2 linked regions of the Coturnix japonica genome follow. The main gene of each other region encodes a partner of the protein of the gene in region 2 in a complex. Links are inferred from orthologs where the notes say so. Each region holds a gene or a part of one and is shown on either strand. Other genes may lie near its edges.

Region 1 (5,605 bases), on a different chromosome or scaffold from region 2:
GCTCAAGAAATCAGAATACAAATGAAAAGCATTTAAAATGTATGAAGACAAAACCCAAGACCTGTAAACAAATGGGACTGGCTTCACCTGAACGCTTTTTTCTTCTACTTAGAGAGAATGTTTCTCAATACTTAAAATAAATACTGTTTTATGTATGCAGTGGCATATGCAGCAAGCGGCTGCCACGTTATGAAACTCTGGATTCCAGAGATGTGTATTACATCTCTGCTGTCTGTCACACTCAGAATATCTGGGAAGAGGAGGAGGAAAACAAGCTTATCATTTATCCAATTATTGCTGGTTTTGTGGTCGTGAGGCTTTCTGCAGAGTACAAGAATAACTTGTTTGCAACACCAGTAAAATAAGGATGGAACCTGGAGTGCGTTGTCTCTCTCTCGGAGCCTGCTCACCCATGTCAGACCAAGTGACTAACTGGCTTCACCCTGTGGGAATCAACAACCCCAAGGCTCAGCACACAGTGAGGGCACAGCTTCAGACTTGGGTGCCACAAAAAGCCACACACCTATAGTGCCGTCCCACTGCAAGTGCGTGTCTTGCTACCATAACAAAACGAGAGTGTATTACAGAACAACAACCCCCAGGTGCAGGAAATGGAAAAAAACAAACCCAAACCAATCTAACTATGCTCTCCTTAGCAGAACAAAAACTGAGTCTCCATATATAACTGGAAAACTCACAACTTCTGTTGTTGTTCCTCTGTGCCATGCTTTCCCCTCCTTAACTGCAGCTAATATCACTCTAGTGAATGAACATTAATCTTACTCAAAGCCAGAACCATCACTGCTTTTCAGGCACCTTGAAAAGTATGACCCTGAGCACCTGGCAATGCCGTGCCTCTCTCATGCAGCCTTTTCAATCCTGTAGACAAGAACCGTGTTTTCCTTGACAGAAAGAAGTTTCTTAAAAGCAGACTTACCAGGGAGGCTGAGAACAATCATCATAATCACTCTGTCTCGGTGCTACCAGCTTTCCAGATAGGCTGCCAAGCTGGCGTTTGACTAAGAAAACAGGTTTAGCACAAATCTAGATTCCTCTTCTCAAGCACTAAAATGCCTAAGTAGCACATCGAGTTGACCATTGTTTCTTATCACCAAGCAAACAAACCTCGTCGGCAGGAAAACTGCATTAACAAAGCGACTCCCTGCATGACTGAGATGGGCTCTGGTTGCTACAAATGCCGATCCTCCTGGTCACCCACAAGGTCAAAAAACCTACCCCATAGTTTGGCTTCCACGTCTTGCTTTCACATCATTTGGTTTCTCCACAGGCCGTATTTGTTACCACAGGAGTAACTGTTGGTTTCACAGCGCACAATATTCGTTCATAACAGGCTGTCATTTCCATTCGCTTTTAGCCAGAGTTAAGATGTAAGATGGGTCATTAAAACAAAATACCAAATCACTGATCTGCTATTTGTATGCAATGGGACGTCTCTGTCCACAAACATTCAGTCTTCATAAACCAGACCCCAGCCCCTTGTCCTTTCCTTTCCAATCAGGAGGAAAAACTAATTGGCACCAAAGAGTCTGCTTTTCCCACTGAAATCAGCGAGAACACTTCTGTGCACTTCAAAGGGTACCGAAGGATGTCCAAAGCAAGCGTGTTCATTTTATAGGCTCACTAATGCCAATCTTTTGACCCGCAAGTGGAACACATGAATCACAGCAGAAACAGCCCCACTCCTGGGCTGTCAGAAACCAAACCCACAGTGTTATCTTTGGCCCACTGCACAAAAGGCAGGAAGTCAGGGACCCATTTTCAGCCTGTGCAGGTTGTTCTGCTGGCCCCCAACGCACCGAGCAGGCAGGACTTCAAGTGAAGTGGAAGCGGGCTACCTGAGGGACCGACAGCTTCCTACTGTAGGTTGCCTCAGAGGAAAAAGGAAATAACTCTGGAACAATGCAGACAGGCTTTAAATAACTGTCAGGGAGATGCTGCTTACTGGAAGTTGAAGGTTTATCCCAGGTCTTAACATAGAATGCTTTAAGATTCCATAGCAGACAGCAGAGGGAAGCACACAGCCAGCACAGGGCGATGATGAGAAGCTGTTAAGAGCTTTATTGCTGTGTATCCGGTTAGACCCGCGCATGCGTGTGCGGTCAGACGGCGCCATCATGCCGGAGGGGAAGGGAACGATCCGGGAGGTGCTGCCCAAACAAGGTCCGGCCGGGGGTGGGACGGGGACACGGGCAATGCCTGCAGCCGGCTGATGTGTGCGGTGTGTGTGTGCTCCGCAGGGCAGCTGGCGGCGGAGGACACGGCCGGCATGGTGCTGTGCAAGCCCAAAGTGCTGCCCCTCAAGTCGGTGTCGCTGGAGAAGCTGGAGCAGCTGCAGCGCGCAGCGATGGAGGCGATGGAAGCGTCGCGGCCGCCCGAGGGCTCTGCGGGCTCCCAACCGCGGCCATAAGCGGAGTAACAGGTACGGCAGGGAGCGGGGGGACGGCAGGGAGAGGCGAGCAGCGGGCACGGCCCTGTGTGCTATTAGGAACGGCATGAACGTTGGGTGAGCGAGTGTGGAGCCGGCAGCTGCACTCACACCGTGTGGGTCACACCTTGTCTGTCATCTATTACTGCTCTTGTAACACCGAAGGGCAACCTGATCTATAAAGGTGTATGTTTGGTGGCCCTGCCAGGCAGGGGGTTGGAACTACATGATCCTTGAGGTCCCTTCCAACCCGGGTCACTCTGTGATTCTGTGTTGGTACCAAGTGCTGCACAGTGCTCGTGCTTCAGACACTGGAAGAGCGTAGAAGGCAAAAGACAGGCAGGACAGCTTCACAAAAAAATATTTTTAATATGCTTTTTTTTTTTTTTTTACCAGAATTTTTCACTTTTCCAGTTACATAGAAAAAAAGGAGCGGTTTGGTACGTGCTGGCTGGAACATCTCAAACTGACCAGTGGAACAGGTGAATTTGGCCAATGAGCCAGCGCGCTCTTCTTGGGCTCTTTAAGACAAAGAAACAGCTATTTTCCCTCCCAACGCACAGTATTTCATCAGCAGCAACTGAGGGGATGAGAGCAGCTCAACCTGAGCCCCTGCTAGAAAGCTCTGTACAGATCAGGGATTTATTTCCCATTGAAAACACTGTCCTTGAAAGAAACAGCGGCAGTCAGACGTGGATGCAAACATGGAATGATCACTTATGGCACTTATAAAAGGTAGCTTATCTGAAGGCACCGCCACAACGGAGCGGCCAGTTGGTCTGTTTGGATGCCCAAAGAAAGAACTTTTCTTTCTGAAATCTATAAAACTCTTAAAAAAAAAACAAAAACAAAAAAAAAAAAAACCAACTGATCTGTACCCAAAACACGTGCTCTTAAAAATATAGCAACTGTGCTAAGCAACTCGTAGAAATTTGGTATACAATACATGCATATACGTATATACAGGCACACGGACCAAAAAAGGCCTGTGTGTCTGTATATATCTATATAGATGCCTCTCTTTTGTCTCTTTCCCTTTCAACTTCTAAGGCTTCAGCAGTTGGTTCCGACATTCAGTAGCTTTCTAGTTTCAGCCGGCCTCCATCTCCTTCACTCACAAAGCGCTTCCTGCCCCTGGAAAACAACACAAAGTCTATTATCAGCAAGTCTGTGGTAGCATCACTTCTGTCAGTGGGAAGAATCTTCTCTTGGTCTCGAGTTAAATGTGAGGTGTGTGAGACTGAGCAAAATGATGAATCAGATAAAGAATCCTACACTATGTTATTCTCAAGAAGCTCTTCAGATTTCTCCTGTCCCTTTAACACTGAACATTACCATCTGTGCTTCCAAAAGCTGCTCGCTTGAAACCCTACAAATGACATTTTTCTACCCCAGACTGAAACACAAGCTCAAAACTCCTGTCTGTATATTCCTGAGAGCTGAAGCATCATGAAGCTTTTGTTGCAGCAATGACTTTCGGCCCTACCGAACCCTCAGTGCAAGCTGATGTCGAGATTCAAACTGGAAGATATTGAACAGACAGCATTTCTGGTGCAGAATATCATGGATAGTTTTAACATCGACATTTACACATCAAACTTAAAGGTTGTATTCTGACCAATAATACAGAATACCGAGAAGCTACAGTTAAGCAATAATAAAGCAGAAAACTCTACAATATTGGATGTATCTCACAGTTGCCTTTTTTAGTGTATGTAGAGCTTTTGCCACAGAAATGCCTGGTTGCTTTCTGACAAAAACCATGAGAATTGGTGTCTAATCCCAGAACTCTTATTAATTCAGTTTACAATGTTTAAACTGCTTTAAAACATGTTCTTTTTTCCCCTCCAGGTTTGTCTGCATCATTAAAACTCCTGGATCTTCCATCTCAGCACTGCGCTGATCTCTGCCAAGTGAGCAAAACTGAGAGGAGATGCAGGCCTTCATGTGCTGCAGCAGTCAGACACGCTGCCAGGGATTCCAACAGCAGCTTCCTTCCCTCACATATGTATCAACCCTGTTCTCTTTGTTCCTCCATCTCCCCTGGTCTCTGTACCAACCCGTCACACCCAGGTTATAAGATCCTGCTTCCAAACTGAGCTCCAGCACCTCTCTGTAATAAAACAAGTACCTGGAAGGACAAAGGTCTCTCAGTGGTTTGGAGATGATTCCAGCCTGAAAACATTCCTCCACAAACCGCTCGAGCACAGAATAGGAGTGTGGCACATCCAGGTTAATATCTGGTATTTCACAGTAAACTCGTTCGTAGCCCTGTAGTTTAAGAAAGCAAATAATTATTTGGTTGTTCTAAAATTACAATTTTTTAACCATCTTTTTGCACTCAGATGATGGCTTTTTGAATGCAGTTTCATGTATTCTTTAAGCTGTTTCAATCAACTGAAAGCAAAACACCTGCAAATTATACCTTGCTTTGCCACTAATACCAGCCAGTTCCAAGAGCTGGTGTTGCACAACAACACATCTATATGAACACACTGGCTGAGCATTTTAGCTTCTTAAAGTCAGAAATCCAGGCAGTACAGAATGTATACGACAGCCCAGCTGCCAGTAACACAAGGAAGAAGGATTAATTGCTCTGCCCTGTAGATAGAGGGCAGGCCACAGATCTCAAGGAGAGATGCAATAAATTACAACCAGTACTTAAAAGAAGATAGAAGCTACTTGAAAATCTTACCCAGCATTCTTTCAATGCCATACTTACTCTTTTCATTTGGTCCATAGTAATGACAGAAGACCTCGAGAGAGATTTCAGCAAATCCAGCATCATTTTAAAGGTCTTTTCTCCAGTAGACTCCAAAACCATCACGATTGCCTAAAACAAACCATGCAAGGCTTTTAATTAAAGGAAAACAGTGGTTTGAGTGCAGGTTGTGTATCAAAGTGCAAAAAAAGAGTGAATGTATTTCTGGGGAGACAAGTCCATTTGCTACAAGCAGTTCCAATTCCAGAATATTGTTATTTGAAAGGAAAGCAAAGCCTGATAAAAAGTTATTGGCATAAAGCTGAAAGGTATGAGAAAAGAGGAAGGACTGGGCAGAGTAAAGAACACTGCCTTGTTGGAGGGATACATAACTGGATCTGCATGGTTGCTGCAGCACAGATGGCAATTAATTTTGTATCCAACCATTTCAAGTGCAA
Region 2 (4,395 bases):
GTTAGGAACTGCCTCGCCGGGATGCGTTTTGTTTTTATTGCAGGATTGGTGTTCCAATTCCTCCACTAAAGGAAATCCAATGGTTATGAATGCTATCAGATTTCTTCTAATGGTCTCTTCCTTGCAGCGCTGTCATACAACTTAGTGTGGATGGATGGCCCTGGCCTGTAGATGACACTTGCTATTTATTGAGCGGTAGCAGCAGCCTTCCCTCCTGTGCCTTTCCCCAAGGAGGCGCGGTGCTGGAAACTGGATGGCTCCAGCTATCCCTGCCGTGCTCCAGGAGAGGGCACCAGTCCCTTGCTCATGTTTCTTGAGCAAAACGCACAAAGCGTCCCTTAGTCCCCTGTGTGCAGGGATACACGTCTGCGCCTCGGTCTGGCCACGGGCGGCCTCTGCTTTTCCAGGGCTGAGCCTGGGTGAGAAAGCAGGAGCTCCTGGGGCAGGGCCTGCGCCCACCTTGCATTTTACTTTGGCAGACAGTACCTGTGCGTTTTGTTTCTCTGAATGTTCCCCTACGGCACCACACACACATATGGTTTTACTGGGGGAGGGAGCGAGAAGAGGCAGGGGAAATGAATTGCAACGTGTGTTCTGTAGTGTGTCAGCCTGTAAAATACCATCAGTGAGGTGCTGCCGCTGGCCTGACCCACCTGGAGCGCTCTCCTACCAACTGTCAGAGCTGCGGGGAACTGAGGTAATCAGCACAGAGATCACCCCCATATTGAACACATACATCCTGTATTTACTGCAGGTGCAATCCCCTTCTCAACCTGAACTATGCTGTGCTGCTGTATAACCACGGGGACAAGAAGGGGGCCCTCTGCCAGTACCAGGAGATGGAGAGGAAGGTCACTGCACTGAAGGAGAGCAACAGTCTTGATTTTGACCCCGAGGTATGTGCTTAAGAGTTGTCAGCAGGAACTAAATAGCCACATTAAGGCTGGCAACAAACAAGGGGGAAGTTTGACTTCTGAGTCCAATTATTAGGAAGAATTCTGCTTATGAGATTTTCTAAGTAGAGCAGTCACCTGCTGCGAGCTGTGTGCTTCATTTCTGCTCTTTGAAGCCCAGTTCTTCAATCAATATGCAGCAAGACAAGATTCCCTCTTAATTAAGGGAATGAATTAGCGGAGATGTTTCCCTCAAGCACCAAGGCAGTTAGCAGCCCTGCACACAGCTCTTTTTCTCTGTTGACTTCGTTGTTGTCTGAAGTGTCGCTGTCTATGAGAGTCTTCTCTATTTGTTTCTTGAGAAGATGGTGGAGGTTGCCCAGAAGATGGGAACTGCCCTGCAGGTCGGAGAGAGCCAAGTCTGGACGAAACCTGCTAAGGAGTCTAAATCCAAGCAGCGAAGCACACCATCAGGGAAGTCTGCCAACACGCAGCAGCCGTTGGGCTCCAACCAGGCCTTGGGTCAAGCCATGTCCTCAGCTGCCAGCTATGGGAAAAGCATGCAACTTCCACCAGGTACCTCTCTTTTGCATCTCTGTGAAGTGAAACCATGGGAAGGGAGAAGAGAAGAGAAACCTCCCTCACTTTGAGTATGGCATATGTTTAGGGAGGTATTTACTTGCTTACACAGAGCTCCTTTCAGCCTTATAAGGCTTAGGCTTATAGCTGTACATGCTGCAGCTTGCTATGTGGGAGCATCTCCTGAGCCATTGCTTGCAGCCTGACCTCCTCTCACCCCTCAGCTTCCCAGGAGCAAAGCACTAGAGATGCTGCTCAGCACAGCGATGTTCTGTCACTGTATGTTTTGTTTCCTGTGGGTTGGCACAGAAGGAAGGTTGTGTAATCCAGGCCATTTCTGTGGCACCCCTAAGGACCTGCTCCATTTCTCACGACAGCTGAAAAATAAAAGCACACGGGAGTTGAGGCGTTAGCTGAAAGGCCTTGTCATCCACATCAGCAAACCTGGCTCGTAAGATTAGCTGTCAGCTTAAATGTAAGCCTAGAAACAGCTTCAGCGTGGCAGTGTCCTGTTTTGATTTAGTTCTGTAAGTTGCTGTTAACCACGGGGAAGCTCTCTCTGAGACCTCTAAAACTGTGAGCTGAGAACTGCACTGTGGTTTTGGTTACAGTCTGAGTACAAACCAGACGCAGTGGAACTACTTTCCAAAGCTCGAGTTTCTTCTCGCAGCAGCCCAGCTGAACAAGAGACTGCCTTAGCTTCTCTTCAGCAGAGCTCCAAGTGCTGTCATGTCTCTGGCTAGGTAATTTGCAGAAAAGTTGAGTGCTGTTATTAAGTTTCATGCTAGGCAGAAGAAATCAGAAAAAAGAAGAGCTGTGGTCAATTTGTGTCTCTGTGTTGCTTGGGGGTGCTGAAGAAGACACAGAGTGTATGCAGTCATCCTGTAACTTCTCTCCCCAGGTGCCGGAGCATCAGCTTCCCTTGCAAAGCCTCCCTCGCTGCCCCTGGAACCAGAGCCAGGCTCAGAGCTGAGCCCAGAGGAGACCTCAGCGCCAGCAGAGGCCGAGGAGCAGCGGCAGCAGAATCACAAGAGTCGTCAGGCAGCAGAATAGGATGGGCTCGAGGCAGTGGGGGCAGGCGTGGGAAATTCCAGTGCTGCCTGACCTGTGGGGCAGGGGACCTGTCCTCCTGACCCGGAGAGGCTTCACCCCGCTGTCAGTTAGTGTAGATGCGGCATTTCTGTCAGTGATTTTAGCGTGAGGTCTCTGCCTTGTCCCAGGAGTCACGGCAGCAGTCAGAAGAGGACGCTTCATAGTTACTGTGAGTGCAGTCACACCTCACTTCCTCAGTTGGGAGGACGGCGGCTCTGCAGGGAGAGTGCAGCAGCACAGAAGGCAGCCAGCCCTACATTCCAAATTCTTTGCTGAGAAACAGGGTGAATGAGGCTCAGCAGAGCCCCGTGCTCCTGTGATTCGAGTTCTTCCTTTAGAATTAGTATTGCCCAACGTGGGGGAAAGGTTGGTTTGCAGGGAAGAAATGAAGATCTTTTCTGAGAAGCCTTGCCATGCTCAGCTTCAGTGCTGAATTTGTTTTAGTAAAGCAGCAGCCACGTTCTGAAGGACAGAGTTATGGCCTCTTGTGAGAGACTTTGAGGAGATTCAGTTCTGCGAGCTGCAAGAAGGCAAAGCGGCCCCATGGTGAGCAGAGCAAAGAATCTTAATGCCCCTGTGCTACTGAGATGTTTGGGAAGTGTTTGTATCCTCAAAGATTAAAATCTGAGCCTTCCTTTCTCCGCTCCTGTCAGTTTTCTTGCATTTGGATTTATCCAGAGCGTGATGCAGGCCTTCAAAACAACTGTGCTGGGGAACTAAGCTGGGCCCGTCATGCTTTACATAAGGAACCAGTAACTGGGTTAAGTAAGCGTGGTTTTCACCCTCTGCATACAGAGAACTGTGCTGCTGTGGGACTTGGGATTTCACTTTTCCAAGCAGTTCAGCACTTTCTGCCCAAAGAAGCTGTATCTTCAGGAGGGCTCAGCTCATCTGCTAATTAGGCTGATGAGCTTTTAAAAATACAGCTTCTGTTTCATAATCAACACGTGCGGTGGGATGAGGTTTGTGATGGAAAGCTCTCTGCAGCAGCCTGTAAAACAGCATGACCCTGGATAAGTTAACATCCTCCAGCAGTGCTTTCTGGCTGGCTGCTTTTACCCAGAGCAATGGTAGTGTGTTTTTGGGGTGCAGCAGGGACCCGAAGTGCTGCCCTGCCCCCCAGGGGCCACTAAAAGTGGGATCCCTTTGCTTTGTTTTGACTGACAGAACTGCCTGCTCACCTCAAATGTGGCTTTTTGTTTCATCCATCCTCTGCTGGTTGGTTCTCTGTCAGTCCATCCCTGCAGCAGCACTCCTGTAATGCTTTCCTTGTGCTAGGAGCAAAAGGAAACAGAGGTTTTGTGCAGCAGCCGCCAGTTGAAACAAACCAGACAAACTGCAGTGTAATTTAGGTACAATGCGGCCTTTTTATTTGCTTTTAACTTTTTATTCTGCAGATTACTGCAGTGTAAGGGGAGGCCAAGAGTGTGGAGCAGGGGTGGGCTGGGAATGCTCTCTAGCCCCTAAAACCTTTGTTCAGTTTGTATTTTTCTGTACCCATTGCTTGTCATTGTTTGGGCTCACTGTAATGTGTGTCAGGTTTGGGAAGTTCCAGTACAAGGAGCAGCGGGCGGAACAGAGCGGTCACAGCATTGCTGATACAGGCAGCTTTACCCTCCAGATATTTGTTGTAAGCAGGGTAAGGTAACTTCAGGACTGAGGCATTAAGGAACTGCTGTGTGGGAGCAGCCTCATCCCACAGGTGGCTGTGGGAACCAGGACCACTGCTTTCAGAGTATGGCCTCCATGTGAGGCTCTTTGCTCACCCGGCCCCACCTGTACCAACTGTTCCCTTTAGGCTGCTGGGAGCTCTTTCAGGGCAGGTGCTATG

What was found. The genes of interacting proteins can lie anywhere in the genome.
Region 1: the proteins of BBS4 (region 2) and BBIP1 are in contact, whole or in part, in a cryo-EM structure (PDB 6VBV), measured with the Bos taurus proteins. The link is inferred for Coturnix japonica from reciprocal best matches to the Homo sapiens genes BBS4 and BBIP1. Residues at the interface, in NP_001069424.1 of Bos taurus: Leu210, Leu213, Tyr236, Leu240, Ala241, Ser244, Gln247, Thr248, Ser269, Pro271, Asn274, Asn275, Met278, Phe281, Gly282, Lys284, Tyr298, Leu299, Pro301, Leu302, Asp303, Trp304, Lys305, Ile306, Tyr308, Asn309, Leu312, Leu315, Thr316, Gln318; in XP_003587939.1 of Bos taurus: Met7, Phe8, Arg9, Glu10, Val11, Leu12, Pro13, Lys14, Gln15, Gly16, Gln17, Leu18, Tyr19, Val20, Glu21, Asp22, Leu28, Lys30, Pro31.

What each region holds. Positions count from the first base shown.
Region 1 is NC_029521.1:23,095,896-23,101,500, reverse strand, and holds BBIP1 (BBSome-interacting protein 1), read left to right. Parts: upstream 1-2,081; 5' UTR 2,082-2,108; coding exon 2,109-2,181; intron 2,182-2,258; coding exon 2,259-2,428; 3' UTR 2,429-2,440; intron 2,441-2,821; exon of another isoform or gene 2,822-3,519; coding exon of another isoform or gene 3,520-3,580; exon of another isoform or gene 3,581-3,676; intron 3,677-3,841; exon of another isoform or gene 3,842-4,051; intron 4,052-4,297; 3' UTR 4,298-4,577; coding exon of another isoform or gene 4,578-4,717; 3' UTR 4,718-4,778; downstream 4,779-5,605. Other genes in the region: PDCD4 (programmed cell death protein 4), read right to left, coding at 3,520-3,580, 4,578-4,717, 5,169-5,279.
Region 2 is NC_029525.1:1,094,798-1,099,192, forward strand, and holds the end of BBS4 (Bardet-Biedl syndrome 4 protein), read left to right. Parts: intron 1-754; coding exon 755-896; intron 897-1,258; coding exon 1,259-1,469; intron 1,470-2,373; coding exon 2,374-2,525; 3' UTR 2,526-3,213; downstream 3,214-4,395.